Diceros bicornis minor: one gene and its partners. The protein of the gene in region 1 interacts with the protein of each later gene in a pairwise test. Links are inferred from orthologs where the notes say so. Each region holds a gene or a part of one and is shown on either strand. Other genes may lie near its edges.

The links.
Region 2: the proteins of TMEM79 (region 1) and TNMD interact in binary tests that used the Homo sapiens proteins (3 or more experiments, as listed by UniProt). The two-hybrid records come from large-scale screens. The link is inferred for Diceros bicornis minor from reciprocal best matches to the Homo sapiens genes TMEM79 and TNMD.
Region 3: the proteins of TMEM79 (region 1) and PLP2 interact in binary tests that used the Homo sapiens proteins (3 or more experiments, as listed by UniProt). The two-hybrid records come from large-scale screens. The link is inferred for Diceros bicornis minor from reciprocal best matches to the Homo sapiens genes TMEM79 and PLP2.
Region 4: the proteins of TMEM79 (region 1) and CLEC7A interact in binary tests that used the Homo sapiens proteins (3 or more experiments, as listed by UniProt). The two-hybrid records come from large-scale screens. The link is inferred for Diceros bicornis minor from reciprocal best matches to the Homo sapiens genes TMEM79 and CLEC7A.

Annotation. Positions count from the first base shown.
Region 1 is NC_080743.1:59,879,350-59,886,868, forward strand, and holds the start of TMEM79 (transmembrane protein 79), read left to right. Parts: upstream 1-4,505; 5' UTR 4,506-4,630; intron 4,631-5,390; 5' UTR 5,391-5,433; coding exon 5,434-6,193; intron 6,194-6,468; coding exon 6,469-6,682; intron 6,683-7,519. Other genes in the region: nonsense-mediated mRNA decay factor SMG5, read right to left, coding at 2,815-2,888.
Region 2 is NC_080781.1:93,661,282-93,668,232, forward strand, and holds the start of TNMD (tenomodulin), read left to right. Parts: upstream 1-3,948; coding exon 3,949-3,996; intron 3,997-4,161; coding exon 4,162-4,293; intron 4,294-6,951. UniProt on the Homo sapiens protein: May be an angiogenesis inhibitor.
Region 3 is NC_080781.1:42,378,967-42,386,386, forward strand, and holds the start of PLP2 (proteolipid protein 2), read left to right. Parts: upstream 1-4,415; 5' UTR 4,416-4,542; coding exon 4,543-4,638; intron 4,639-5,954; coding exon 5,955-6,107; intron 6,108-6,212; coding exon 6,213-6,308; intron 6,309-6,837; coding exon 6,838-6,928; intron 6,929-7,131; coding exon 7,132-7,154; 3' UTR 7,155-7,420. Other genes in the region: PDZ domain-containing protein MAGIX, read left to right, coding at 1-18, 784-1,091. UniProt on the Homo sapiens protein: May play a role in cell differentiation in the intestinal epithelium.
Region 4 is NC_080756.1:52,031,406-52,039,080, forward strand, and holds the start of CLEC7A (C-type lectin domain family 7 member A), read left to right. Parts: upstream 1-4,671; 5' UTR 4,672-4,822; intron 4,823-5,816; 5' UTR 5,817-5,885; coding exon 5,886-5,988; intron 5,989-7,675.

The DNA of each region.
Region 1 (7,519 bases):
TAGACTACTGGGGTTCAAATCCTGGCTCTACTTCTCACCAGCTACGTGGTCCTGGGCAAAATATGTAACTTCCTTATGTCTCAGTTCTCCCATCTATGAAATGGGAATAACATTATCACCTACTTTGTAAAGACTAAATTAGCTAAAACATAAAGCACCCATAACAGTGCCTCGTACATAGTAAATGCTCAATAAGTATTAGTCTCCATCCTTCTTGTTATAAGGCTGAGGAGGAGACTCCAGACACTAAGAGAAAAGACCAAGGAAACTACAATGGATGGCTAAGAAGTGCCAGAGATAGATGTCATCTCTGGAGGGTAAAACCCGGAGGATGACAAACAGCAACTGTGAAAACAGGTGGATCAGGCATAGCTCTGGACACAATAGCAACCAAAAAAACAGGGAGTGATGATTCCCCAAACACTCCAAGATTGTTTTAGAATACTGAAACATGTGCTCCTAGGCCTGGGAAAGTGGGCCACAGCAGGCTAGCATCCCGTGGTGGCTCAGGTGGTACACCACTAAAAGCCACCCGTACAGGGCAAAGGGAGCGCCAGCACCAGCTAAGTGGGTGGGATGGCAATCAAGGCCTTCTCACAGGCAATCTTGAGAGCTCAGCATTTCTCCAAACACGTTCTGGGCTGCCTGGAGAGGGGAGCCAAGCCCTTTTGGCCAGCCTGGCCCTCGCTGCCAGAGGCAGCATCAGGCAGCCATCAGTGATTTACTCTATGCCAGCTGAGTCCCCAGAGCAGCACTCTTAACTTCAGTGCCATAGATAGATTTAAGGGGGGGGGGTGTGTGTGTATTTTTATGGACAGGCTCCAGAGCTCTCCTTAGATTCTTGATCCAAAAAAGGTTAATAACCACTACTCTAGTAAGTTCTAATTGCAAATTCTTAAACCTGAAAGGACTCAGCACTTTTTTCTCCATTCCCCATCAGACAATAAGCTCCTCCACTAAACTGTAACCTCCTTTAGAACAAAAACTATAAAACTAGTCTTGTGTCTCACTCACTATTGTAATCCCAGGCCTAGCACAGTGTTTAAAAAAAAAAAAAAAAAAAACACTTTAAAAAAAATGGTTAATTGGGTTAATTAATTAATTGGTGCTTGTGTCCCTTCCCGTATCCTCTCTCCTGCTGCTTTTTCTTCTGAGGGGCTTAACACATTTCAGAATTTCATTTCTGTAAACAGATTGTGGGAATTTCCCAAATTTACTGAAGCTCAGAGTGACAGTTTCGTAGTCTTAACACATCTATCTTGGGCAGAGAAATCAGACCTTCCTTCCCCAGTTCCTTCTACCAATCACCATTGCTATAGTAAACAGCAAAAACAGAGACCTGCTGCCTCAAATTTCCACCCTGCTCAAAGCCAACAACACACAATCACAGGCAGAGATACCCATGTGAACATACATGCAAACACATCAGCTTTAGTCAGTCAGTCCCATGAAGGTAGTGGCTTCAGAAAGAACTAGACTTGAGAATGATTAGAAGGATGACCAGAGCCATTACCCAAAGCTGGAGACAAGGAAGGAATCTTGCAGACACTGCCCACGCTGTCTGACAGACAGCGCTGACACTCGGCAGCATGACAAGGCACATGTGCCACCCTCAGTCAACTCCTCACCCGCCCGGAGACCGCTTGGGGCAGCCCACAGTGGGAACCCAGGGGCTGCTGGACTGGATCACTTTTCTATTTTTGGAGCAGCCTATACTCCCCTCTGCCTTCTGGCTTAATAAGCCAGAGCAGGCAGGATGCCTACTCAAGAGAGGAAAAGACAACATGCTCTTGACTCTTTCACTGCCAAAATTGGGCCCATGGCTCTAAGGGTGGTCTTCTCATGCAAACACCTCTGTTCTATAGAGCTTGAGCTAAAGGAAAACTCAAACCCTACTCCCTACTAGAAAGCAAAAAACTCAACTTGGTCTCTGTGCTTCATCCTATTTTGACCCAGTTCTAGAGCCCATGTTCCAGTTGCCCCACACAAAAAATCCTCAACCCAGGGTGGGAAAAGCTCATACTGGCCTGTTCCCAACAAAGGGTTGAAGAGCTGAAGACGTGACTTAAGGAGTGTGAGTGGCACTGTGGAAATCAGAAACCAGGAATGTAAGCTGCCTGGCAGGAGACTGTAGTCATGAGGCTGGGAGGCAGGGAGGACTTAGAAGTCCCCAGCTGCCCTGAACTGGGCATCCATGACCTAAGAGCACTCTGGACTCAAAGTCCTTCCTGGCTCTTCCAGTCTAACACACCTAGTCTTCCAGCCTCTTTCTTTTCATTCAGATTCCCAAAACTTAGAGTCATAAGAGACTTCAGAGCATATCCAATTCAAATCTCTCCTTTTAAGGATGAGGAAACTGAGGCCCAAGGTCACACAGTGAGAGGGGCAAAGCAAGGATCTGAACCTGGTTCTCTTGATTTCAGTCCAGGGCTCTTCCCCGTAAATCCTACAAGGTTCTAAGCACCATTCCCTTCCGGGTTTTTCTCCATCTGTGACCCCACCCTCACCTTCCCAACCTCTGCAGCCCTCAATTTTCACTTTCTTACCCCAAATCCGTCAAGTTCGGTGCCCGCCCCAAGCTCACGGCGGAGGGGCTTCCTCCACGTGCTTCCCTCCAAACCTCCCACCCACCCAATTCCTTCTTTCAACTCCATCTCGGGTTACGGGGCCCCGCCCCCCCTGCTTCCTCCAAAATTGCACCCTCCTCCCTCGCACCCCAGCCCGGCACCGGGGCCCCGCCCGCCCTGGAGGCCCCGCCCCTCGCTGTCCCCTTATTTCGCTCAGCGGCTGCATTTACGCCCCGGCCCCTCTCACCGGTAAAGCCGCTTAGTGTGGAGGACCTTTGCTTCGGGCTCGCTGCTCTCCCCTGGGGGGGGCCCTTGGCTCATGGTGCCCAAGTCCGGGGGCGGCTCCCGGTCACAGGCCCCCACCACCCACCACTGCCGCCACCACTGCTGTCTCCGGCCGTAGCCGCAGCCGCCACCGCCGCCGGCCCTGCTCGGCCGCCATCGCTGTGAGGCGGCTGCCCGCGACAGCTCCTCCTCCGCCGGCCAAATCTCGCGATAGCAGCTGCACAGTTGCGGGCCAGTGGCCTGCTGCTACTAAATCTCGCGAAACTAGTTTTCCCTCCCGGGAAGTTGCCAGAACTAACTCTGGGCAGCGTGGCCTCTTTCCGGCTTCTCCGAGCACTTGCGAAAAACTTTATTGACAAAGGTGCCAGCGAACGGACAGTGGACTCAGTGAGGGGGCTGAAGCTAAGGTGGATGGGACAGATGGGCTCCCATGGGGCAGATGGGCTCCCAGCTAGGAGCGTGACTTTGCTTTGTCCTACAGTGGCCATTTGGTCCATTCTGCTGCCCCTTCACCCCTCCCCCCCAATATGAGCCGAGCCTCTTTCAGATTACTGGTTAGAGTGATTTCAGTTCTCCCCTTTTTCCATTATTTAAACAAACAAAAAAACATGTATGTGAAAATTTCCTTGGAAAGGGCCAAGCATAACTTAAGGGTAAGGCCCTCTAAGACATGACTCTTGTACTGGCATCTTGGCCCTTCAGCTCCCTCGCCCCCAAAGATTTCCACTTGCATATCCATCTCTCACCAGTCCAGCAAACATTTATTGAACACCTGCTGTCTTCCAGCCACGATGCTGGGTTCTGGAGACACAGAGATGAGCAATCCAGACACCATCTGGGCCCTCACAAAGCTTAAATGACTTGAGAGATAAGGTCCCACAGGAATGAGAAGTCACTCCCTCACGTATCTGCCCCCTGGTCCTCCCATTGGAAAGATCACCTTGGATTCCTATTGCTTTCTTAACCTTAAACCTAAGCTAAAAGGCAAGGTGTTTGGGGGGGCCTGTGTACATGCTGTAATGGGAACATAAATACCACCACCACCACTATGCTCCTGATTCCAGCCACCAACCTTCTTTTTGTTCCTGACATAGCCTAAGTCTTTCCCACTCGTTGGCCTTTCATTTGCTGTTCCTCTGCCTGGAACACTCATACTCCTGATTTCTCATCAGATCTCAGCTCAAATGTCACCTTGGCAAAGAGGTTTTCCCTACTGAAATTGTCTTCTTTAGCTGCTAGGCTTCTTTATTATCTGTTACCCCAATAGAACAAGCTCCTTAAGGGCAGAGACCTTGCCTGTCATCTTGTTCTCTCTTGTGTGCCTAGAATAGAGCCTAGCTAATAATAGGTGAACAAATAAGTGTAGAAATTTCACCTCTTTTCTGGGTATCTCAACCTACTCCACACACCCTTGGATCCATAAACCCACTCTTCCCCCTCTCTTTCCTGAGCTGGAACCTCCTGCACATCCCATGTACCTAGAACACACATTTACCTCTGTGCCCAACTGCACATTCCGCCCCCCCCCCCCTTTCAGAAAGGATGACTCCTCTAATGCTTTTTCTGTCGGCCGATTCAGCAGGGCGGGCCCTGCCCCTTTAATCTGGGCCCCACCTGCTCTGGTCAGACAGGTTTGGAGACACAGGTAAAGGAGGGACACCGAGAGGAACACTTGCAGTGCCAGCAGGGAGCTAGGCAGCTTCTTCCCGGACACTGGGGACCCACTGCCTCTCTCCAGATGGAAAATAAGAGGGTGTCATGGGTCCAAGCGGCAAGAGGTAGGAGGCTCTTGAGGAGGTGGTGGGAGGGGAATCAACCCCATCCAGAAGCAGTGAGATGGAGGATGGCAGGGAGGGGAGAAAACAGGAGAGGCAGCATGGGAAAAAGCCGTGATTAGACCTAGAAGTCAAAATGGACAGACCCAGGCCCTCCGGGGATGGAGGAGGTGGGCTAGTGAGGACTTTGGAAACTGACCAAGTACCCAGATTGGAGAAGAAAAGAACAGGGTACACTGCTACTGCCAGCTCTTTGGGACAGATTTGTTGGCAAATCATTGGTATCATTTGCCAGGAGAGTTCCAAGCAGGGAACTGCAGGGAGAAGGGGAGGTTTGAAGGTGAAGGGGCAGCTTCTCTGTCCACAAGATCCTTAGTGGGAAGGAAGCTCTTGGCAAAATTCTAGACATCTTCTCTTCCTCCCATTCCTGCATTAGGGTGGCCATGACCCCAGGGGTTTTGGTGGAGGGGGATAGAAAGCGTGGGTGGGGGCTGGCTGAGGCCACAGCTGCCAGGGCCTGTGCCCCTTGACTCACCCTCTGCTGGATGGCATTTGATGTCGAAAGGGTGCCTCCATTTCAGCTGCTCACTTCCCTCCGCCTCCCTCTGTTTCAACACCTTCCTGCATACCATGTTCTCTCTAAGGTCCCAGAAGGGGCTAAAGCCCATGAGGCCAGCTGCCCTGGAGAGTTCCAGTTCTATCAACCCGTCCTAAGGGCTAGAGGACAGGAGCTTCTGACAGAGCTTTCCTCTGCTCTCTCCAGGGTGACGTGACCTCACGGTAGACCCCAGAAGTGAGGCCCCAGGATGACAGAACCCGAGACCCTGGCCCTGCTGGAAGTGAAGAGGCCTGAGGCCCCAGAGAAAAGCCCACCCCAGGCCTTGGTCCCCAATGGCCGGCAGCCAGAGGGGGAAGGTGGGGCTGAGTCCCCCGGAGCTGAGTCCTCCAGAGTAGGGTCTTCAGCTGGGTCTCCCACAGCCAGAGAGGGGACTGAGGATGGTCTAGACAGCACAGTAAGTGAGGCTGCCACCTTGCCCTGGGGGACTGGCCCCCCGCCCAGTGCCCCGTTCCCGGATCCCCCTGGCTGGCGGGATATTGAGCCTGAGCCCCTTGAGTCAGAGCCACCCACCAAGCTAGAGGAGTTGCCTGAAGATGATGTCAACCTGCTTCCTGAGAAGGCAGCCCGGGCCTTCGTGCCCATTGACCTACAGTGCATTGAGCGGAGGCCCCAGGAGGACCTCGTCGTGCGCTGTGAGGCAGGCGAGGGTGAGCACCGCCGGACCTTCCTGCCCACCCGGGCCACCCACCCTGAGCCCTCTGAGTGCAAGTGGGCCGAAGCAGTGGTGAGGCCACCTAGCCGCTCCTGTGGGGGCTGTGGGAGCTGTGGGGGCCGAGAGGGGCTGAGGGCCGTGGCCTCAGTGGGAGCTGCCCTCATCCTCTTCCCCTGCCTGCTGTACGGGGCATATGCCTTCCTGCCCTTCGATGCCCCACGGCTGCCTACCATGAGTTCCCGCCTCGTCTACACGCTGCGCTGTGGGGTCTTTGCCACCTTCCCCATCATACTGGGTGAGCCTGGGCCCTGTGAGAAGGAAGGGGCTGTCTGGGAACTGGACTTGAGGTCAGGGCCTGCCTGGCTTGGGGAGCAGGAGAGTTTCCCTTCACTCAGCCCAGCCCCCTCAGGGCCTCCCACACCCTGCCACCCTGTGTGCCCATCTCCCTCCAGGATCACCTCAGCCCCACTGTGTAGGGCGCATGCCCATGAGCTTTCCATTACGAATTCTGCCCCCAGCTTCCTGCCTACTGCTCCTGTTCTGACTTATGTGTTCTCCAACCCCACCCAGGGCTCCTGGTGTATGGGCTGAGCCTGTTGTGCTTTTCTGCCCTACGGCCCTTTGGGGAGCCACGGCGGGAGGTGGAGATCCACCGGCAGTATGTGGCCCAGTCGGTCCAGCTCTTCATCCTCTACTTCTTCAATCTGGCCGTGCTTTCCACCTACCTGCCCCAAGATACCCTCAAACTGCTTCCTCTGCTCACCGGTCTCTTTGCCATCTCCCGGTGAGTTGGGGCTGGGGGTGGGGCACAGGGGAGGTGATGATGCTAGAGGGACCCAGGCATCTGAATATCTGGAGGGCCAGAGACAGGGAACTTTCTGGATTCTGCAATAGCCCAAATGTGTACCCTGGAGAGCTGAGTCCACTTTCTGCCTTGCACCTTACCTCACCTGGTAGCAGGTGATCAGTCACATGTCTTCCCAAGGGAAGTTGATTTCAGAGATACATATACCAACCTAGAACTGCAAGGGCTTTCAGGTGTCATGTCGACCAACCTCCCCTCATTGCAGCCACTCCTCTGTGGCACTCTGGTCAGGTGGCCATTAGCCTCTAGTTGAACACCCCCGGTGACCAAGTGCTCAATTCTTTATAAGGCACTCTGTTTCATTTTTCAAAGGTCTTAATTATTAGAAAGTTCTTCTTTATATTGTGCTAAAGACTGCTGCACTTCGGGCCAGCCCAGTGGGGTAGTGGTTAAGTTCACACGCTCTGCTTCGGCGGCCCAGGGTTCATGGGTTTGGATCCTGGGCGCGGACCTACACACTGCTCATCAAGCCATGCTGTGGCAGCGTCCTACATACAAAATAGAGGAAGATGGGCACAGATGTTAGCTCAGGGCCAATCTTCCTCACCAAAAAAAACCCCAAAAAAACAAACAAAAACAACCCTGCTGCCCTGACTCTGTCCTCTGGAAATGCCTAGGACAAATGCAGATATTTGACAACAGCTCTCAATTCCCCTACTCCAACACACTGCTCCCCTAGTGTTTACTTTGCTAAGTGACCCTGGTCTCTTTACTGTCCTGGGTCCATTCCTTTAGGAAGGAAATTCTCCTGCTTGT
Region 2 (6,951 bases), on another chromosome or scaffold:
CCCTTCAATGAATTCCCATTGTTTCTTAGAATAAACTTCAAACCCCTTACCATGGCCCTTGTGGCAGAAACTATAAATTTCCTACCCAATATGTTTCCCCCTTATGTAACAAAACCAGGATTTTTGTTAGGAGTACTAATAGGCTGAGTTGAAAATAAAACCGCCCCAGACTCCATTTCCGTTAGGAGTGGCCATCAACCCAGTTCTGGCCAGTAAGATAAGCAGAAACTTACAGGATAGGGGTTCAAGGAAAACTATTACTTTCCTGATGGAAAAAGATGGACTCAGCTATCATGTGTCTCTTGCCTTCCGCATCCTCTCCTTTTTCCTGCCTGGAGGTGGAACAGCCATCTTGGAAGCATGAAGATGGAAGCCACACTCAAACAACCACAGAACAAAAAGATGGAAGCTTGGATCATGGAACTTGCATGAGCCCTGGACTGCTGACATTGAGGCTCCATTATGTCAGAAAAATAAACCCCTTATTTTGTTAAACCACCATAACTTTATTTCTATTAATGCAGCCAAAACGGTCCTAATAGATACAATCTTGTATGATATGGTCCCTGCCTACCTCTTTAGCCTTATCTCAAGCAACTTTCCTCCTCATTCACTGTATCACAACCACACTGACTTTCCATTTACTCTTCAAATACAACCTCTTTCCTGCTTCAGGGTATTTGCATGTGCTGTTCCTTCTGCCTGGAATAGTCTTTTCCCCAGTCTTCACTCGCTAACTTCTACTCATTTATTCAGGTCAGAGCTTAAGGGATGTTTCCTCAGCATGGACTTCCCTGAACCCCCAATCCAAATTAGGTGCTTTCATAGCACCCTTAATTTTTCCTTCTTAGGATGTTTCATAATTTATATTTTTTATTAATTTACAGGATTTTTCCCTTTTAGTTTAACTTCTGTCTCCCAACTAGACTCTGAGCTCTCTAATGCCAAGGTATGTATTTCTCTTGTCCAGTACAAAATATATATCCAGCCCATATAACAGTGCATGCCACATAGAGGACACGGAGTAAACAATGCTAATAAATGAAAAATCTACTGAAATTTCATGTGCTTTGTGCCATTTTCCCTTCTCTCTTGGATCATAATTAATCACTCCTCCCTCTATGCTTCCATGGCATATTGCTTTGACCTCTATTTTAATTCAATCCATTTAACAAATAAGACATGTTTTAAAGGATCTCAAAGTCGGTTCAGGAGAAAAACACATAAAAACTAATTATGATACAGTATAATAAGTGCAATATTTGAAGTATGAGCAAAATACAAAAATAGAACAAGGGAAAGGGTGATGAACTCAATGAAGTGGTAGAGATGAGGCCAGGAAAGGCTTTCAGGAGCTAGTAACATCTAGGCAGCATTTTGAAAGCCAAATGGGAATTTTCCAGGTAGACAAGGGGAGGAAAGGAAATACAAGCAAAGAGTATAGCATGTTCAAATGCCCTGTAGTGTGAAAAAGTAGAGGGTGTAAAGTGTAAAATGTAAAGAAGGCATCGTAGGCATAGTATGAGTAACATTGTTGAGGGGAATCATCTAACACAGTAAACATAAGTTTCTCCATGAGACTACTCTCATGCCTTTCTTTTTTTTTAAGCTTGGCCGAAGAATTGTAAAACAAATAGAACTATGACTTATATTTCATAAGTTACATAATCAATTTCATGCATGATCATGTCTACAACAATCAGAAAATTAGTTTCCATCACGACATTAGGATGTGGATGAAGTCACATATACATGCTCCATGGCTCTGCCCATGGAGATCTGAGACCCCCAGTTGGCTCCATCTCTATGGAGGAAATTGTCCAAAATCAAGGCTGGAGAGGTAGGCAGGGTACAGACCATGAAGTTTCTATGATGTCACCATAAGTAGCTTTGATTTTATGGACAATGAATAGACACAGAGGGATTTTAGGCAGGGGAGAGATTATCCTCAGATTTGAGTCTTAGAAAGATCACCTTGAAGGCAATGGATTGGAGGCAAGGAAACCAATTAGGATTCTATTACAACAGTAAAAGTAACTATGAGAACCTCAACTAAGGCAGTGACAATTGAGGATGGAGAGAATAGAATTGGGGAGATAATGCACAGGCAAAATTAACTAGACTCAATAATTGATTAGGCATGGGGATGGACAAGAGAGGAAGAAATTAAGGCTCATTTGGAGGTTTCTATTCTAGAGACTGATCATTGTGTCTTTTAGTGAGAGAGGTAATACAGAAAGAAGAGGATGTTTGGGAGGAGAGATAATTAATTCAGTTTGGAGCATGTGGTATTTGAGGTGCCTGTGGAATATCCAAGTGGAGATGTCTGGCAGGTTAGATGGACACATGGGTCTGGAGCCCTAAGAGAGCAGCCTGGGTTAGAGATATGGATTTGAGACTTGTCAGAGAAGATGACAACTTAAACTAAGACTTTAGCAGTTAAGATAGAGAAGAAAGAATAACCTTGAAAGACTTGAGAATTTAGAATCGATAAGATCTGGTGAATGGTTGGATAAAGGAAATGTGAAAAAGAGAGAGGAGTGTAGGACAAACTTCAGGTTTCTGGTTTTGGAGCCTGGGTGGGTGATGGTTCCACTGTTATGGACTAAATTGTGCCCCCCCCCCAATTCTTATGTTGAAGCCGTAATACCCATTATCTTAGCATATGACTGTATTTGGAGATAAGGCCTTTAAAGAGGTAATTGAGGAAAAACAAGGTTGCATAGAAGGGCCCTAATACAATATAACTGGTGTCCTTAGAAGAAGAGGAGATTAGGACACAGACATGCATAGAAGGAGAATGCCATGTGAACATGAAGATGGCCATCTAAAAGGCAAGGAGAGAGACCTCGGAAGAGACCAACTCTGCTGACACCTTGATCTTGGACTTCCAGCATCCAGAGCTGTGAGAAAATAAATTTCTGTTGTTTAAGCCACCCAGTCTGTGGTACTTTGTTATGGCAGCTCTAGCAAACTAATGCAGCCACCAACCAAGATTAGGACTATGGGAAAGAAAGTAGGTTGGGGGAAGGAGGTGTTGAAAGAAGAATTTGATGTGGGACATGTTGAGTTTGAGATTCCTGAGGTACATCCAGGTAGAGATATTCGAATGGCTTTGAAATTCAAGAGATAGATTGGGGTTATGGATACAGATTTGGAAATCATTGACATGTAGGTGATATTATAAAATAAACTGTAGGAGTGGATGATGAGATCATCTAAAACGTGTGTATAGAGTGAGAAAATCTCAAGGATAGAATCTAAGGAATATCAACATTAAGGAACAGACTGAGGAAGAGAACCTAGGAAAGGAAAATAATCAAAGAAATAAGATGAAGAGAGAGAGAAAACATACAATTAACCTTTTTAATCTTGTTTTTAATTATAATTAATTGAGTACATACTGATCTCAGCCCTCAAAGAGCTTTGACATAGTGGAGGAGGAAATACTTTATTCATTTCTGAATCTCCAACACCAAGAACAGTACCTGACATTTAATATCCCTGCAACAAATATTTGTTAAATCGAATGGAATTGAAATTAGGACTTCATTCCCTTTTTTGTTTTGTTTGCTTATTTCTGGAGTGTGCAGCATGTATTGCCACTGATATTTTAAGTTCATAGTGAAAAATCATTTCAATGTGTCCTAGGCTTGGTCCCCTTCCAAACCAACCCCCAGGACAATAGTTTTTATTATTACCTTCTGTCTTTGCCATTCTGGATGGAATTCTGTGCACAGAAGTTATATACATATATGGGTATATCTATGTAACAAATCGCAGCACAGGAGCCCCCTGGGCTCCCTCAGGCTCTGGTATGACATATTTGAGCCATATAAATTCAGCTTCTCCTCTGGCATCTGTTAGCCGACTCACTCGCAACTCCACCTCAGCAGTGGTCTCTCAGTTCTCTCAAAGCAGGGAAAGAGTACTGTGCGCTGAGATACCATGGCTAAGAATCCTCCAGAGAACTGTGAGGACTGTCACATTCTAAATGTAAGTTGATTCATATTTTTCCCCTTTTGAGCAGAAGCAGGGTTTCACAGATTTGTCATATTGCAATATGAACATTAGAAAGTGAAATCAAAGGTGACTTTGAATCATGGCTTGCTATTGTAAGGACAAATGTGTATTGTTTTATTCTCTCTCTTCTTTGCTTAGGCAGAAGCTTTTAAATCCAAGAAGATATGTAAATCGCTTAAAATTTGTGGATTAGTGCTTGGTATCCTTGCCCTAACTCTAATTGTCCTGTTTTGGGGAGGCAAGCACTTCTGGCCGGAGACACCCAAAAAAGTAAGTAAATGTACATTATTATCCAATACTTCTGTTTTGAGTTTGATTGAATTTAATTAGTGATTGATATGTATATTACTCTGAAAATGAAAATCATTAAGTCCCTTTGGTGTTTATTTTCTGGTGGTATGAAAAACTGAATCAAGATTTTACTCTCTTTTATTTGCCTAATTATTTTGGAAAGGGAAACAATGTGTTTTCTGTATTTCGGTTAGTAATGATAGGATGTAGAATTACCCATTCTTTTATGATGCTTGGCTTTAAGGAGTTAAAACTCCCCTTAGAAGCAAAATTTTTACTGTAAGAAAAAATACTTTCCATCTTTCTTTCAATTACCTGGGCAGAAACTGATGGAAAAGTAATTATACCACCACATAAGAAGAAACCACCAGAAATGGCAGCAAAGGATTTTCAGGGATTATGTTTCTGACTTAATGCATCTACTGTGAGAACAGGAAGCAGACTCCTTTTCAGAAGGAGCAATTCTTATACCTGAGTTCACATTTATTTATGACTTTAAAAAAAAAAAAAAAAACTAGCGCTGTTCAGCTCCTCACCAGCCACAATTGTCACTGTCCCACTGAGATAGTAATGCCACAAGGTAGAAACAAGTGACACCAAGTCATTATCACAGGTATCTCAGAAAGCTTCTGATATTAGGGTGATTTGGTGAAGCTTGGCTGGCCATTGTAGTTGGTATTAGTGTACCTTAGTGTCATTTTTACTCCTGGGCTCACACGCAATGGGCAAGTTTAGATGTGACCCAAAGAAAATCATAGCGGCCGGCCCAGTGGCGTAGCGGTTAAGTTCACGCACTCTGCTCCGGTGGCCCAGGGTTCGCCGGTTCAGATCCTGGGCACAGACATACGCACCACTCATCAAGCCACGCTGAGGCAGCGTCCCACATAGAGCAACTAGAAGGATGTACAACTATGATATACAACTATCTACTGGGGCTTTGGGGAGAAAAAAAAGAAAAAAGGAGGAAGATTGACAACAGATGTTAGCTCTGGGCCAGTCTTCCTCAAAAAAAAAAAGAAAGAAAATCAGAGTCCCTTCATGCTAACAATTTCCATTTGAAAGAGAATTAATAAATGTACAAGCTACAAGGTGTGAAGATGGTTTTCTGGCTTTGCCACATTTTTCTCTCTGCATGTGGGATGTTGTTGTTGTTACTGTTTTTATTAATTTGTTGTCATGAAACGCTCATTTCTATTTGATAACAGATGTAGGAAGGGAAAGGCACAAATCCAGGAGGGAGGATAGGAAACAAGAAGAAAATGTGCTGTCGTGGACCATTAGGAGCCAAAGGAGCGATAGGAGCACAGGGAAGAATATAGATCAATGAGAAAGGAGAGGCAGAGGGGGAGAAAATAGAAAATCAACTGGACAAGTGTCCAGAAGAAAATAGAGAAGTAAGGCATAGTCACACTTGTGTTCTTCACCTCTGCTGCCATATCCACTTACATTTAGTCCCAGAAGCTACCTTATCAAGTTTAAGTAGCAGGGGAAATGAAAAGCAAACCAGCCTACTTTGTTTGCCTTTTTATTTATATCTTGTTCCAGAAAAGATTTCAGGCATTACCCAATGCCTATTGTTAGTCCCTTCTCTCTCTCTCTCAATCTCTCCCACTGCTCTCTGCTTCTGAACTACTTACTGTTCACATGTCTTTCTAGAAAAGCCACCTATATTCTGGCTAGCAAGGTGGGCAAAGCAATCGAGATCAGGAAGGAAACAGCAAATGAATGAGAGTGCCAAAATGCATTCCGATCCAATTCTGCTACCACTTAGCTAATTCCCAAGGCGGCATGCTGCCCTGCAAATTGAATCTTGGATTCTCTTGACAATCACAGATGAGTTAGAGGACAATAAACCCTTTCATTCTCCATGGCCATAGCGTACTTAACTGAGTGTGGTAGGTAGCTAGCCCTTTTGACCACTCATACATGCCTGCCTAAACATGGGGCCAGATTGCCTGTCTTGTTTTATTGTAGCCATTGGTACAGCAAATGCTATTCTGAAAGGATTCATATATTTTTCTGAACTTACAGTGCTATTTGCCTCAGTGCAACTATAAATCACTAAGTGGGGACCTTTCTTTATCTTGCAAGGTGCCAGACTCACTAACAGGGCCCATGGTCCCCTCTGCTTCCGTATTATATCATCTTTGCTTCTCACTCCAGTTTGCTTTTTTAATGGATTATAAGGAGCAATCCTGTGATTTCTCAAACCACAGTAAAACCTAGTCAGTGCACACACAGAAGAGGTGGGGTATGCTACTGAATAAATTTTATCAAGAATCACATCTCTTGTGAAGTAATCCATCTTGGGACGTAATTTTCGAGAGGGATTCTCAGAAATGAACAAAGTTATTATAAAGTAATTTGGTAAAGGACAATAGTGTCTTGTGGGGCAAGTTTTTCCACCATGAACAAAGGTTGTTTGTTCTCCATTCCAATGGGGAGTTGCAGTTTACTGTCTTTGATATTTAAGTCTTGGCCTTCACCACAAGACCAGGCTGGGTCCATTGCAAACTAAAGAACTAGCAGGAGGTGTGGGTGCTTCACTCAGTCTACTACTACCTTCAATTCCCCGGGCAAAGAGCCTAAGAGACCATCTGTGTTTCCAATGGCTAAGACTGCCAGTAAGCCTGCCTC
Region 3 (7,420 bases), on another chromosome or scaffold:
GGCCCCAGAAAGGCGATGGTGGGTTTCTTAGGGAAGAGGTGTCAGGGATCTGTGAAGGGAAGGAGAGAGTGGCAGAGTGGAGAGGCTGGGGTCCTGGGTGGGAAGGGTTTGGTGGTCTCAGTGGGGAGGGTCGGTGGTTGATGTCTGTGAAGTGTCATGGTAGTCTCCAAAACCGCGGGGGGGGCGGAGGGGGGAGCTGGGCAGGGAGTAGGGTGTCAGGATAGGTATAAAGGTGGACTTCTGAGGGGAGACTTTCTAGGTACTGGGCCAGGAGAGGAGGGAAGGGGTCTGGGGTAAAAGCGGGTGTTCAGAAGGAAGAGTCATAGTCCTCGGATGGGAAGGCAGAGTGGGTCCCAGCGGGGAGGAGATGGGATGGGGATCTAGAGGGTAGGGGGTCTCATTCTGAAAGAGGAGGGGTCCATAAGGGAAAAAGTCGGGGTCGAGGGAGGTGGGTTGAGCAAGGGGAGAGTCTGAGGTCCTAGATGGGAGGGATTTGGCATCTCGAGGTCAAGGTCAGGGTTTGATTTCCTTTGGAGATTGTGGGAAATGCTTTCTGAGGGGTGTGTTCTGGATCCAGTAGGGGAGGGGTCTTGGGAAAGGAGGTGTCAGGGGTCTTAAGGAGTGGTGGTGGTTCCTCAAGGGCGTGTCCAGGCCTTGAAGGGAGATTTCTCTAAGGAGCAGGATCCCTGCCTTTGCAGTCTCCCAGCCACCCTGGGCCAAGGGGCCCCGCTCTCTGTTCCCCACCCTATCACCCAATCTAACCCGCAGTCTTGCCATCCCCAGATCGCAGCCCAGATTCTGGGGGACCAAAGGTGATGAAGTCTCGCAGCGCCAGCCCCTCCCTACTTCAGCACCCTCGATCCCATAAGACGCCCCAAACCCGGGGCAGCCCAGAGCCTAGCCCAGAGCGAGCGGCCGACAGCCCCGCGGTTCCTCCTCCTGAGCGCCGCACGGAGGACCCTCACGACCGAACTCCGGGTTCCCCGGGACCCTGGCTGGTGCCCAGCGAGGAACGGCTCTCGCGTGCCCTAGGGGTCCCGGGGGCCGCGCAGCTCGCCCTGGAGATGGCAGCCGGCAGGCGGAGGCACTGAGCATGCATCGGGCGGCTTGGTGCTTACTTGGTACTGCCCAACCTGGATCTGGCGTGCTCCGCCGGCCGCGCACTAGCGTGGCGGGGAGAGCTTCCACTTGGTCTTGTTCCCCCTCCTGCTGCGCAGTCGACCAGCCCGTGCTCCCCTCGCGGCGTCAGTGGCACAGCCCTCCCGGACGGGCCAGCCCTGCGCTTCTTGTTTCGGGCGGGGGAGGTAATAAAATGGTTTGATCCAGTCTTGACTTTCCAGGGGCTTCTGGCCCGGTGAGGCTCCCGAGTCCACCTGGTAAAGAGGGTGTGGGTCGATCTGGTTTCTTCTTGCAACCATTGACAAGCTTACTTCGTGTTATTTCTTTCATGCCTCTAGAGGGGTCCTTGCTTCTGCCGGCCTCAGCCCAGCGTGCTTTCTCCCCATTCCGTTTCTCTTAGCAAACTTCTGCTTCTCTCCCCATGCATTCATTTCACTTGTTGGGAGGTGTTCAGGGCTCACAGATAATTATTGCGCGTGGCGTGTGAAATGTAGAGGTGGGCCTGTGATGGCGGGAGTGCACCAGTATACAAAGAGCCCTGGCCCGGAATCGTCCAGACACTCAGCTGATGGCCGGATAACAAGGCTAGAGCCACGGCGGGCGGCTTCCTTCGCCAGGAGCCTGCAGTCTCTCACTTCTGGTCTGGTTGGCCAGCTTTCTCTGGCACGTAGACTGCCACCCTCAGGGCATGGGCTGGGGCCCTGGAGCCCCCTTTAGGGCGGAGCCAGGAAGGTGTGAGTCAGCTGGCCGGGCTAAAAAAGGCTATTACAACCTTTGGGCCGCACCCCCCTCTTCCATAGATGGTGACAAACTGCAGCCGGGCTTGTGTGCACACGCCACATGCTGGGCGTTCCCAGTCGTGGGAGAGGCCCGAGTTTCCTCCATCCTGGGAACAGAGCTCAAAGCCGGGGCTTATATGGCCAGTGGGACTCCAGCTGGGGTAGCCCCGAAGCAGGCACTGGCCAAGGCCAGAAATGTCCAGTCACCTCTGCTGTCACCACATCGTGAACACTTGTCCCCATACACCCAACGAAGGAAGCTGTGGTCAGGCCAGAATGGGCAACTCTTACCCCTACAGGGAGGGGCCGGGGACAGGTTAGAGAAATTAAAAGACTGGAGTGTGAGTGTCCAGGGTGGCTGTTGGGGAGCAGAGAGGGACTGCAAAACCAGGCTGGGAGTTAGGGTATGAAGAGGTGAAGAGGTGAACCCTTGAAGGGTTAGCACTGTAGACGTTGTGGGGGAGGGCGCTGGAGCTTCTAGCTGCCCCTGACTCAGACCCTGGTGGAGGTGTGGCCCCACGGAAGTCAGGAAAGGGCTCCAGAGCCCTAGTACTATAAACACAGTCACACCTGGGAGACTAATATTAGTAACCCCAGCCACCATTTACTTAGCCTTATCCCTGCTACTGGCTCTACTTGCAGTGTCTATTTTCATCTGGTTACACATCTACTCAATAATCCTGATATGTCCATTTTAAACAGAGGAGGGAAGTGAGGCTCAGAGAGTATAAGTAGCTTGAGGGAGGGAGTTTGAAACAAGATTTAATCAAGGCTCAATTCCCAAACCTGTCCCCTTAATCTCACCTGCATTTGACAAGTATTAATTGAGCCCCAACTGTTTACCTTGCACTGTGATAGGCAGTGGGGAGATGCTGGGGGAAGGAACAAAGATTTCTATCCTTGTGTAGCTGATGTGTGTGTGGGGGTAGACAGATGTCAGAAAATACAAGAAAATGCATAAATAAAAGATAATTTCAGAGGTGAGAGTTATGAAGATAGCAAAAGGAGGTTATGTTAGGGGAGGTAATGATGGTGGGCTGCTGGCCTCTTTGAAGACATAACATTTGAGCTGATACCCGAATGATCAGAAGCCAGATGTATGAAGAGCTGGGGGAAGGGCATTGACAGCAGTGGGAACAGCAAGTGCAAAGGCCCTGATGCAGGGCAGAGTTTATTTTGTTCTAGAAACTCAGGCATGTCCTCATGCCTCATTTCCACCTTTCCAGAGGTGGAAAGCACACACAGCACTGGGAAAAATATGTTTCATCTCTTCCACTATCCAATTACTCTTTTGGCAACCTGGGATGGAAGAGGGGAGCAGCTTCCTTGGTTTGGAGGGGCTCTGGGTTGCGGGGGTAGCAGGCAGGCCCTTGGCTTGAAACATCCTGGCCTTCCAGCCATGACTCGCCCCTCCTCAAATGAGATGAGAATAAAACCAACATCCAGTCTGGAAAGCATGCCCCTCAGCACATCTCGGGGGAGATTCTGATTCCCGTGACCAGGTGCATATCTCAGATGCAGAAATCAAGGCTGAGTTAGAAGTTGCTTGTTCAGGATAACACACTCTTCAAATGTTGTTGGCCTTGTCACCCAGCCTGGCCCCTCAGGAGCCTTCCCCTCATTTTGCCAAGCTCCCAGCAATCAATAAACCTGTGCTTCTTCCCCATTCTTCATCTAGGGTTGGGCTCACAGCCCCTCTCCTTAGAACCAGGAAATGGAGGCCCAGCACTTAAGACTGGGACTTCCTCAGGATTGCAGACCCTGGGCTCTGATTCTCTTAATAATGTTCACCCGCATTTACAATGAGCAGATTGATGCTCACCGGGCCCTGTTCTCTCTCAGCCTGTGCACCGGCATCGTCTCGTTTCCATCACCGCTAGGAGGTTTATTCCACAGTCCACGATCTTTTATCCAAAATTCTGAAGTCCAAAAAGCTCTGGAAACCAACAGTTTTCCCACACATTGGGCATCATATGGTTCCAAAACATGACCTGACTTAACCAGGAGCAATTTTCAGTCCTGGCTTATCCCACTTACTGTGAACATCCACATCTTTCCTTGAGGAAGTATTAAGGTGTTTTTTTTTTTTAAATGGGGCAGCCTCAGACCCTGCTGAGGGTAAGTAATGCACGGTATAGGAACCGGGAAAACTTTCTAAAATTCAAAATATTCCAAATTCTGGAAACATTCCTGGGTTTAACCATGGCCTCAGCCGCCGTTTTTACAGCTAAGGAAACTGAGTCACTCTCTCCCAAAGCGAGATCTCCGCGGTTCTGAGTTGAGGCAGCCCTGGGAGTATTTGTATTCTAAAAGTGCGAAGGGTCTCGCCATTACCGCGCATGGGTACTCCGAACTGCCAAGCCTCAAAGGCTGGCGCCCCGGGAGATGGGGCGCCCCGGGGGCCGTGCGCCGGGAGGGGAATATCCTTGGCGGGCGGGGCGAGGGGGCTTCCGGGGCGGCAGACACCTGGTCCGGCCCCCTCCGGCCCCGCCCGCTTCTGCTTGGTGCGGTGATTCACTCCCTCCTTCGCCCCGGGGCCACCTTCCCGGCCAGACGGCGGGCAAGACGATTGGGTGTGCAGCGTCCTCGAACCCGTGAGCAAGCAAGCAGATCCTCCGAGCTCCTAGGGACTCCGGCCCACGCCATGGCGGATTCCGAGCGCCTCTCGGCCCCCGGCTGCTGGGCAGCCTGCACCAACTTCTGGTGCACCCGAAAAGGAATTATCCTGTTTGCTGAAATCGTGAGCGTCCCGGGACAGGCGGGTGGCCAAAGGCGGGGTGGGGTGGCTGGACCACGCAGAGCCGGGAGGGCCCAGGTGAGGTAGGCGCGTGGCCGGGGGCGCTCAGCAGTGGGGCGCAGGTGGGTGGGTTAGTGGCGGAGGCCAGAAACCAGGGGCGCAGGGCGAGTCAGTCGGGTTTGGAGAAGGTGGTCGGGAGCTGCTGGCCCACGGGGTGAGGCAAGAGGCCCATAGAGCATATGGGGGGGCCCCATGGAAGGAGACTGCGTGGACTCATCTGTGGACTCATCAGAGGGGTCCCAAGGGGCTGGGAGGTGGGAGCCTTCCGTGGCAGGGCGTGGCGCGGCCTGGGCACTGGCGGGCGGGCTGGCAGCGCGCCCAGGGGCGGGGCCTCTTGGGGTGGGGCCCTGCGCGCTTGTCCCGCGGGGTAGGGTGCCCCGCCCTCCGCCAGTTCTTCCTCGCCCTTCGGTGGTAGGGCGGGAGGTCCTTAAGCTGTCCTGGCCGCTCGGCAGCCTCGAATTCTCGCCCTCCTCAAAGTGGGCGCCGCCTTTGAGTCACTTGTAAAAGGGGTGCGGCGCCTTTAACCGAGCCCTGTCCCTCCAGTGTCGCTCTCACCGCTTCCCAAAGGGGTTGCCGGGGGAACCGCACGTCCCGCCCCGTGAAGGCCATGCAGCTGGCCCCAGCAGTGCTCGCAAAACACCTGGCAGCGCCACCCCTCTCAGGCCACCCCTGTCTTAGAAGGGAAAAGGGGGGAAACTGAGGCACCCAACTCTACCCCTCACTAGCTGAGTGACTGTGGGAAAGTCACTTAACCTCTCTGTGCCTCACTTTTCTCATCTATAAAATAAAGATACTAGGGGCCCCCTGGCATAGCGGTTAAGTGCACCCACTCTGCTGCTGGCGGCCCGGGATTCAGATCCCGGGCGCCCACGACACACCGCTTGTCAGGCCATGCTGTGGTGGCATCCCATATAAAGTGGAGGAAGATCCGCGTGGATGTTAGCTCAGAGCCAGTCTTCCTCAGCAAAAAGAGGAGGCTTGGCATGGATGTTAGCTCAGGGCTGATCTTCCTCACACACACAAAAATAATAAAATAAAGATACTAGTAATAGTATCCAGCTCATGAGGTTGTCGTGATGATTAAGTGAATTAATTCTTGTACAGCTCTTAAAACAATATTTCGAACACAGTGAGCACACAATAAGTGTTTAGCTATTGTCATTTTCCTAGTCCTGGTAGGCATCTGAGACTCCCAACTTAAACCAATCCCCTCAGCCATGGGAGCTGATCGAGGCCCCTTTCCCGTGTTATCCTTCCAGGTGTTGTGCCTCGTGATTCTGATCTGCTTCAGTGCCTCGACAGCAGCATTCTCCTCCCTGTCGGTGATCGAGATGATCCTTGCTGCTGTCTTCTTTGTCATCTACATGTGTGACCTGCACAACAAAATACAGATCATCAACTGGCCTTGGAGTGTGAGAAAGGGGCCGAAAATGGCGAGGCTAAGGAGGGGCCTGGGCAGTTGGGATTGTCTGGGGAACTCTGGATGCTGACTTTCCTCTTCTCCCTACCCCTCCCAGGATTTCTTCCGAACCCTCATAGCGGCCATCCTCTACCTGATCACCTCCATTGTCGTCCTTGCTGCGCCAGGAAGCCACTCCAAAACCGTCGGAGGGGTAAAGGCCGTGGAGGCAGCTCCAAAGCATAGAGGGGTTTGAGGATCCAGGGGTCATTTCTGCCTCTGGCAGAAAGTGTGTGACCAACAGCCGGCCACACTTGTTCTCAGAGCCTGAAGGAAAGTCTGGCCCAGGCGCTGGTTTTCCTCCCGAGATCATCATTTGCTGTAAAGGGCCATCCCATGTCTGAAACAGGGACCTCTGTGGGAAGCACAAAGAGGCGGCCCCTTTGTCAACACACTAGACTACCATCTGCTAGAATCTGTCTCAAATGTACAGTATTAATGGTATCTCCTGTATGTGGGGCCACCGTGTGGCTGCCCTGTTTTAAGAGGTACTAGGAGGAGGGAGGCTGGGACAGAGTCCAGTCTCCTGGCCTTTCTCTCTGGCTCTCTGGCTTCCCGACCTGGGGCTTTAGTCACCATCCCTGCAGGGTGCAGTCACTGGAGGTGGTGGATACAAAGAGTTAAGAGACTGAGTAGGCTGACTAGCTTAATCCAACCCACTTCACTCCCATCTCCACCCCCAGGTACTGGGCCTAATCGCTGTGTGCCTCTTTAGCTATGATGCATATGTCACCTTCCCCTTGCGGCAGCAAAGACATTCAGCAGCCCCTACTGGTAAGTGTGTGTGTGTGTGTTTCAGCGGGGGGAGGGTGTTGAGGAGAGAAGAAAAGGGGTCTCCCAAGGGCATGAATGCCAACTCTGTCCCTTATTGGTACTTATGGCTTTAGTGGCAATAAATAACATAAGCTTCCGTATTCTTGTCTGTAGAATGGGCATATGGATCCAGCCAATGCTTTCTCTCTTTTCCTCACTTGCAGACCCTGCAGATGGCCCGGTGTAGGTGGACTCCCTTCATTGCTCTCTGCAACCTGCAACTAACACCTCTATCAAAATAACTCCTCCCACCCCTACAACACTCCCAGCCAGCTCCCAGCCCCCTATTGAGGTAAAAGTGCCTTTATTGGGAGAATCTGTCTCTCCGCTTGCCAATCAATCCTCCTGGGTGTGGCCACCTTGACTGGTGAGCCTAGGTCCCCCTTCCTTCTGCAGTATCCAAAAGGAGACACCAGTTCTGCCTGGACTATGCCCCCACCTAAGCCACAAAAT
Region 4 (7,675 bases), on another chromosome or scaffold:
AACTGGTGCAGCCACTATGGAAAACAGTATGGAGATTCCTCAAAAAATCAAGGATAGAACTACCATATGATCCAGCTATTCCACTGCTGGGTATTTATCCAAAGAACTTGAAAACACCAATTTGCAAAGGTACAAGCACCCCTGTGTTCATTGCATCGTTAGTCACAATAGCCAAGACTTGGAAGCAACCTAAGTGCCCATCAAGGGACGAATGGATAAAGAAGATGTGGTATATATACACAATGGAATACTACTCAGCCATAAGAAACGATGAAATCCAGGCATTTGTGACAACATGGATGGACATTGAGGGTATAATGCAAAGTGAAATAAGTCAGAGGGAGAAGGTCAAATACCGTATGATTTCCTTCATTAAGTAGTAGATAATAACAACAATAAACAAACACATAGGGACAGAGATTGGATTGGTGGTTACCAGAGGGGAAGGGGGGAGGGAGGAGGGTGAAAGGGATAATTTGGTACATGTGTGTGGTGATGGGTTGTAATTAGTATTTTAGTGGTGAACATGATGTAGTCCATGCAGAAATAGAAGTACAATGATGTACACCTGAAATTTTTACAATGTTATAAACCAATAAAAAAAAAAAGAGTAAAAAAAAAAAAAAAGAATACCACTTACTCAGTTTTCCTTATTTGTAACGACTCATTATGGAATATTTCTGTGTTTAAAGTGTAGATTTAAAATAAACATTGATAGCATTGCACAGTGATTATAAAGTCAAATAAACAGAACTTGAGCTACTTCAATGGTCCTTCTATGTGACCATTTGTAATTATTATTTGTATTTATACAATTTTTCAATTTGCAGAGACATTTGACAGCTTCTAAAATTGATCCTGAAGAAATAAAGACATGGGCAATATTGTAATTTCTGGAATAATTGTGAAATAGGATTTTTTAAATCTTTGCCACACATATGCTATGTATACATCTTTTTCCTATTTACCTATTTGTGGCTTCAGTGAAAGAAACTTTTCAGAATTAAAATGAACAAAAAGTGGTCTTCAATCAATAATGAGCAAAGATAAATTGATGACTCTGGGTACACTATCTAATCAATGTGAACATGTGAAAAAGATTACTTTTGACAATGTCATTGGCAAATTTTGAGAAAGTAAGGGTCCAAAACAAAAATTGTAATATTATTATTTATTATGGTGACATACCTATATAAGGGTATAAATTCTTTCTCCCTTTCCAAAAAATATGTTAATATGATTGAAAATATTTTATCCATATAATTAAAAGTAGTTTGTATGATAATATTTATTTTATGTCAATGCACACATTTATATGCACTTTTATTTTTACTGGTCTGATTTTATATATCAAGTTGAATAAAAACTATTCACTACCTATATTTGTTTTCTGGCCGTTATTACCATTTATTCCATTTCATGATTATTACTGAATATTATTTTTTTATATAGAAGAGAGTGAAGTAAAAAAGAAAAAATGAGGGGCCTGCCCAGTGGCGTAGTGAAGTTCATGCGTTCCACTTCCATTGGCCCGGGGTTCGCCAGTTTGGATCCTGGGCGCCGACCTACTCACCGTTCATCAAGCCATGCAGAGGTGGCGGCCCACATAGAAGAACTAGAGAGACCTACAACTAGGATATACAACTATGTATTGGGGCTTTGGGGAGAAAAAAGAAAAAGAGGGAGATTGGCAACAGATGTTAGCTCAGGGCCAATCATCCTCAAAAAAAAAAAAAAAGAAAGAATGAACTGCTCCAGGTGTTGAATATGCGGGATACACCACGGTTCAAGGAACTCAAGGAGTCATGAGGAACAGAGTTATAAGCATCTAACAATAAGAAAATACCACATAAATATCATCTCTTCCTTGAGAAGAATGGGAAGTTTTAAATACAAGTGCCATATGAGACTGATGTTTACGTGCACTATATACATTCTCTCCTCAGTAAAACAGTAGAAGAGGGGCTCAAAGGAGGAGGGATAGTAGAGGTTATATGTGGTATGTGGACAACGTAGCAAACTGGAACCAGGAAACCACTGGAACAGTAGGGTAGCTGGAGCATAAACAGAATCAGAGAAGAGAAGGTGGATGGGGAAAAGATGGTGAGGGGCACATTTTCACTATGAAGTATCTATTGATTATAAAGAGAGCCTTTGGTTTAATCAAAAATTTTTAGACACTCTAAGAAAGGACTCAATATCAATTACTTCATTTGTAGAAAGCATAAAAATAACACTGAAAGGGTGCTGTGAATAAAGCTAAGTAATTTTCGTGGTGTGCCCAAACCAGGGGATACATACATAAATGATTTAAGTAAATTTTTTTGTCTGTATCCTCCAAATATGATGTGGAACCAATCAGGGTGGGGATTGGGCCTCATGCTTCCTTGTATCTAGGCTTCTGAGAAGATGGTAAATGTTCAGTAGATATTTAATTGCTTAACGGATAGATAGAGGAAGGAAGCAAGGGAGGGAGGAAGGAAGGAGACTCAAGTTAGCATTCAAATTGGAGGTGAAATTTGATCAGCCCTGAGCTAACATCCATGCCAATCCTCCTTTTTTTTTTTTTTTTTGCTGAGGAAGACTGGCCCTGGGCTAACATCCATGCCCATCTTCCTCCACTTTTATATGGGATGCCGCCACAGCATGGCCTAACAAGTGCATTGGTGCACACCCGGGATCCGAACCCAGGCCGCCAGCAGCAGAGCACACACACTTAACTGCTACTTCACGGGGCTGGCCCCTGATGATTTTTTTTTTTTTTGAAACTTATAAACATTAATGGGGACGGTACTTTGGAATGTTGGTATCCTGAAGACTTACATTTTTTTTTCTACAATGGTTCTTAAGTGAATACTTAGTTTGTTTTTAATAATCTTGTTTTCTATTTAATTAATTTATTCATTTATTTCTATAAGTTTGTATATTTATTCATTTCTCTTTATTCATTTATTTGTATAAATTTTCCAAAAAGTCACATTGGATATATGCCTCAGGCTCTCTTGTGTTTCTTTTTGCTGGTCTAACACTCTTTCTAGTGCATCTATCAAAATAGATATTTATTTGGGAAGAATTTTATTTTTTGAGATTTAATTCTGAAAGCAAATACTACTGTTAACAACAGCTTAATATTTGTAGAAATAAGAGCATGACCAGGCTAATTTAGCTATTCTGAATGCAGTTCTTTCGATTGTTTTATTGACATTATATTCAATCTGACTCAGATTCAATTAATTGTAGTTTTAGTTTATAAAATGTGTTTTTCACTTCTAAGAACTCTTCTCAGATTCCTCATTTTTCTTTGAGGAAAAAACTTGCTGTATGGATGCAATTTTTCATCAAATTTTCACTGAGAATATGAATTAGATAATTGTTGTTTACTGGGTTTTGTTTGTTTTGTTTAGGTTGGTTTGTTTTTCACCTGTTTCTTACATTAATGTTTAACCAGGGGTAGTTTTCTGTGAATACTTAGACTGTCTGTCTCCAACCCTCCCCTGCCCCTTGAAATGCTAAGGGACTTTTTTTCCTAGTTTATCCATAATTTGTGTAATCGCTGTTCAATTGTTTTAGTCTCAGACAAAAAGAGAAGACTAAAGTTTACATTTATTGAAAAAATTTCAAGAGCCAATTGTTCTTGTAGGATTGTGATTAAATAGAGGAAAGTAGTCATAAAAAATAAAGTTATTACGTCAAGTTCTCTCATTGGAAAGTCTGAATTGACAGTAAAAAGCCAGCCTCTTTTTATTGCCTGGAAGGTGCTCTTCTCATTGTTGTTCTCTAGTTTTGTTTAGTAGGCTCACTTCTTCCTTGAGCCAATTTATTCACTCTGTGAAAAATCCCCTGCTTTCCAACTATCCTCTGCTTTCCGAGGGCTGCATTATAGAAGTGAAAGCTGATGAACTGATGGATGTTGAGATTAGATCCACCTTACTACTTTGCAACGTGTCTACAAAAAGTTAGTAAAACTTTTGTGGCAGCCTGGGTAAGACGTAGAAACTCACTTATTTTCCATTGCACTCTCTTCCATTTGGACATGTTGTTAGTGAGAACTGCAGAACTCTCGGCGTATAACACCTCCGTCCAAACCTCTGCACTAAGAGACGTGACAAACTCCGGCATGGCTTCTAACAGCTTAAGGCTGAGTCCCTAGCGTCACCCCAGACCCCCGTAAAATGCCTACTTCAGAAAGCTCAATGCTTCCAGGAGAATTTACTGTTTGTTCTAGTCAAAACTTGGTGATAGACAGATAGGCAGGTCCCTGGAGCCCCTCTTAGAGCAGTTACTTTAGAAAGCTTGCAATTATAGATCCTTTCTCTGCCCTTTGAGATGTAAATCTACCACCCAAAACAGTTTCTTCAGGACCTGAGAGCCATCTCTTTGAAATGCAACCATTCAGGGAGTTAGGGACTTTTACTCTCTGTGGGAAGATAGGGGCTTAACTTCAGAGGGGGCCACCATCCTTCAACATGCACCATTGCCTCCTGTCATAAAAGCAGAAGTTCATTTCTCTTCTGGAGAGGCACCAATTAACAAATTCAGATGGCCCAGTCACACGGATTAACCCCCCTTAATACCACTCAGTGCCTTTCCCTTCGCATACTCCAGCCTTTAAAAAGTCTCCAGTCTTTGTTTTGGGGAAGTTGGGTCAGTTCATGCTGGGCTCTCTTGTCTGTTGTAATAGTATTACTGAAGGAAATCTGTCTTGACCGCTTTAATGAGTGTCTGGCGTGGTCTATCTTTGACAACAGTCAGATGTCTCCTTCATGCTACTTGCTTCAAAGACTTGTAAACAGGTTGGATACCTCTGTAGTTTCCAGCAGTGGTAAGTGTTTTCCGTATCTCATTAATTTGGACATTACTATGGAAATTGGAAGAGAGGAAAAAAATCAAACATTTAGCATAATATTTCAGTGCAAGAATCCTCCATAACTTCTTACTTGCAATATAAGTGTATGGAATGGTGAAGGAGGCAGTGTAGCATAACAGAAAAGATCATGAGTTTTGCAGCGAGTAGACTTTGACTTGATTCCTTTCTTCAATATTCTTATTAGCTTCTTAAAATTGAGCAAGGGACTAAAATTTCTATGTCTCATTTTCTTCATTTGAAAATAAGAATAATACCTCCCACATAGACTTGTTGGAAAACTGAGATTGAATGAGAAAACATGTGTAATGGGTAGTACTTAGCTCATAGTAATTGTTCAATAAATAATTTACCACTTCATGTTAATCTCTGACAAATCCCAAAGAGATTTGTTTCCTCTCTCTGTTGTTACAACAGTGCACCTCCTTATGGCATCCTTCATATACCTATCTGTAGGTTTCCTGTTATTAGACAAAGAGCTTCTTCACAGGTATCATTTATCCTTGTATCCCCAGCTCCCGCCAATTGAAAAGATGGGCATTCTGAAAATGTTTACTGAACAAGCGACTACACGAATAAGTGAATTAATGTATAGTTATAGCGAAGTATTGGTGAACTCGAGGTATCAAAATTGTTTAATAGTTTATATAGACCAAGTCAATTAATGATGTCAAATTCAGTTGTGAGAATAATGAAAGCAGCATAAGACATTAGTCTCTTCATTTTTCTCACATTTTGTCTGAAACAAAGATCTATCCATTGTGCTGCCTTATTATTTTTTTAAGAGTCATTAGTCTCAGAAACAGGATCTAAAGATACAAATGGGAAATTGCTATGGCAGAGTTTTCGTTTCCTGCTTTTGGATAGCTGGTTGGACAACTTAAGCTCTTGTTCAACCTCAGTAAATACCTCTCCCACATGATTTGACTCATAGATCCTCTTTTGTCCACAGGCAGTTGTCTTAGGAGAAGAGAGAAAAGAGCTCTCAAATGCTGTGTCAACTCGGGAACCCAGGAGAACAATGGAATACCACTCTGAGTTAGAAAATGTGGATGAAGATGGATATACTCAATTAGACTTCAGCTCTCAAGGCATCGCCAGGAGACGTGTGGTCTCAGAGAAAGGTATTTTTTCTTTCTGCCTTCAGCATTCTTATTCTCATCAACTAAAACCCATAAGGGGAGAAAATATGAGAGACTTGTGATTTGTAGGGCTTTTATTAATATGTTTTAAAAGGTTTTCAGAAGTCATTGAAGATAATTTGAATGTAACTAAGCCTTTTCTCTTGGCAATCATTCAGTGACTAATAACTAGTATGTAAATTAATTATTCTGATGGCAGAAAATACAATTTCTCTGCTCTGTAGAAACAGACACTTCAGCAGTAAGGACCTGTAATAAGTGTGATGAAATGCAGAGATGAAAGAATTTCAACAGGAGTGGCTTGTTGTTGTTTGATAGAGAGGAGTAAATTGTAGAATGGAGGTCGAGGAAACTTAAATAAGTGTATATGAACAACATCAGGATATTGGAGAGAAGAATGAAAAGATGGGGGCTGGCCAGGTGGCATAGTGGTTACAGTTGATGCACTCCTCTTCGGTGGCCCAGGGTTTGCCGGTTCGGATCCTGGGCGTGGACTTATACAATGCTCATCAAGCCAAGCTGAGGCAGCATCCCACATAGAAGAAATAGAAGGACCTACAGGGGCCGGCCAGGTGGTGCAAGTGGTTAGGTGTGGCGCTCCGCTGAGGCAGCCCGGGGTTCGCAGGTTTGGATCCCGGGCATGCGCCGACGCACCGCTTGTCAAGCCATGCTGTGGTGGCATCCCATATAAAGTAGAGGAAGATTGGCATGGATGTTAGCCAAGGGCCAGTCTTCCTCAGCAAAAAGAGAGGAGGATTGGCAGATGTTAGCTCAGGGTCTATCTTCCTCACAAAAAAAAATCAAAGAAGGACCTACAACTAGGATGTACAACTGTGTACTGGGGCTTTGGCGAGAGAAAAAAAAAGAGGAAGATTGGCAACAGATGTTAGCTCATGGCCAATCTTCCTCAAAAAAAAAAAAAAAGGTTCCAGGATGCCATCTACGAATTAAAAAAAAAAAAAAGAATGAAAAGTTGGAAGATAGGTGAGGGAAAAAAGCAAACTTTTTTTGTGATAAAGGCCAAAAGGAAGTCAGAAGTCATAGAGTTTAGAATCCTGAATCTGATATGATTTTTATGGTAAGAAATGAATTTGGATTTTTTTAAACAAAAGGAAGTTCTATGTACACCGGTGAAAGAAAATATATATTAGATGAAAAGATCCCATTAGCAGGGCAAGAGTCTTAAACAAAATATAAAAGGCGTGAAAAATGGAGAAGGGCATTAAAAGATCTCTCTTTTAGAGAATGAGAGGTTTAGTCCCCTCTGTGATTCTTCTATTTGACAATGTTCTGAAATGCTCCTACTGCTTATTCTCAGTCAAAGGCAGAGCTATGTTCTTGCTATGGTGATGTTGACATAAAAGGAATTCTCTGTTATCAAGAGAGAGATTGCTACAGGTTTTGACATCAGAATTTGTTCTCTTCTTCTTTCCTGTAAAATCACATTGCACAATTATTTTCCTTTTGCCACTTATGAATTCTTTTCTTGCGCAATCTGTTGGGGAATAGTGAAGATACTGGATGATGCAAGAGGTAGGGAGGTGTGTGTGTTTATGCATATGTGTGAACAAACAGTGAGTTACCTACAATGTGCTCATAATCTCTAAACTAGGTGCTTTTATGTGTGTTAGCTCATTTAATACCCACAATAATCCTTTGAGGTATTATT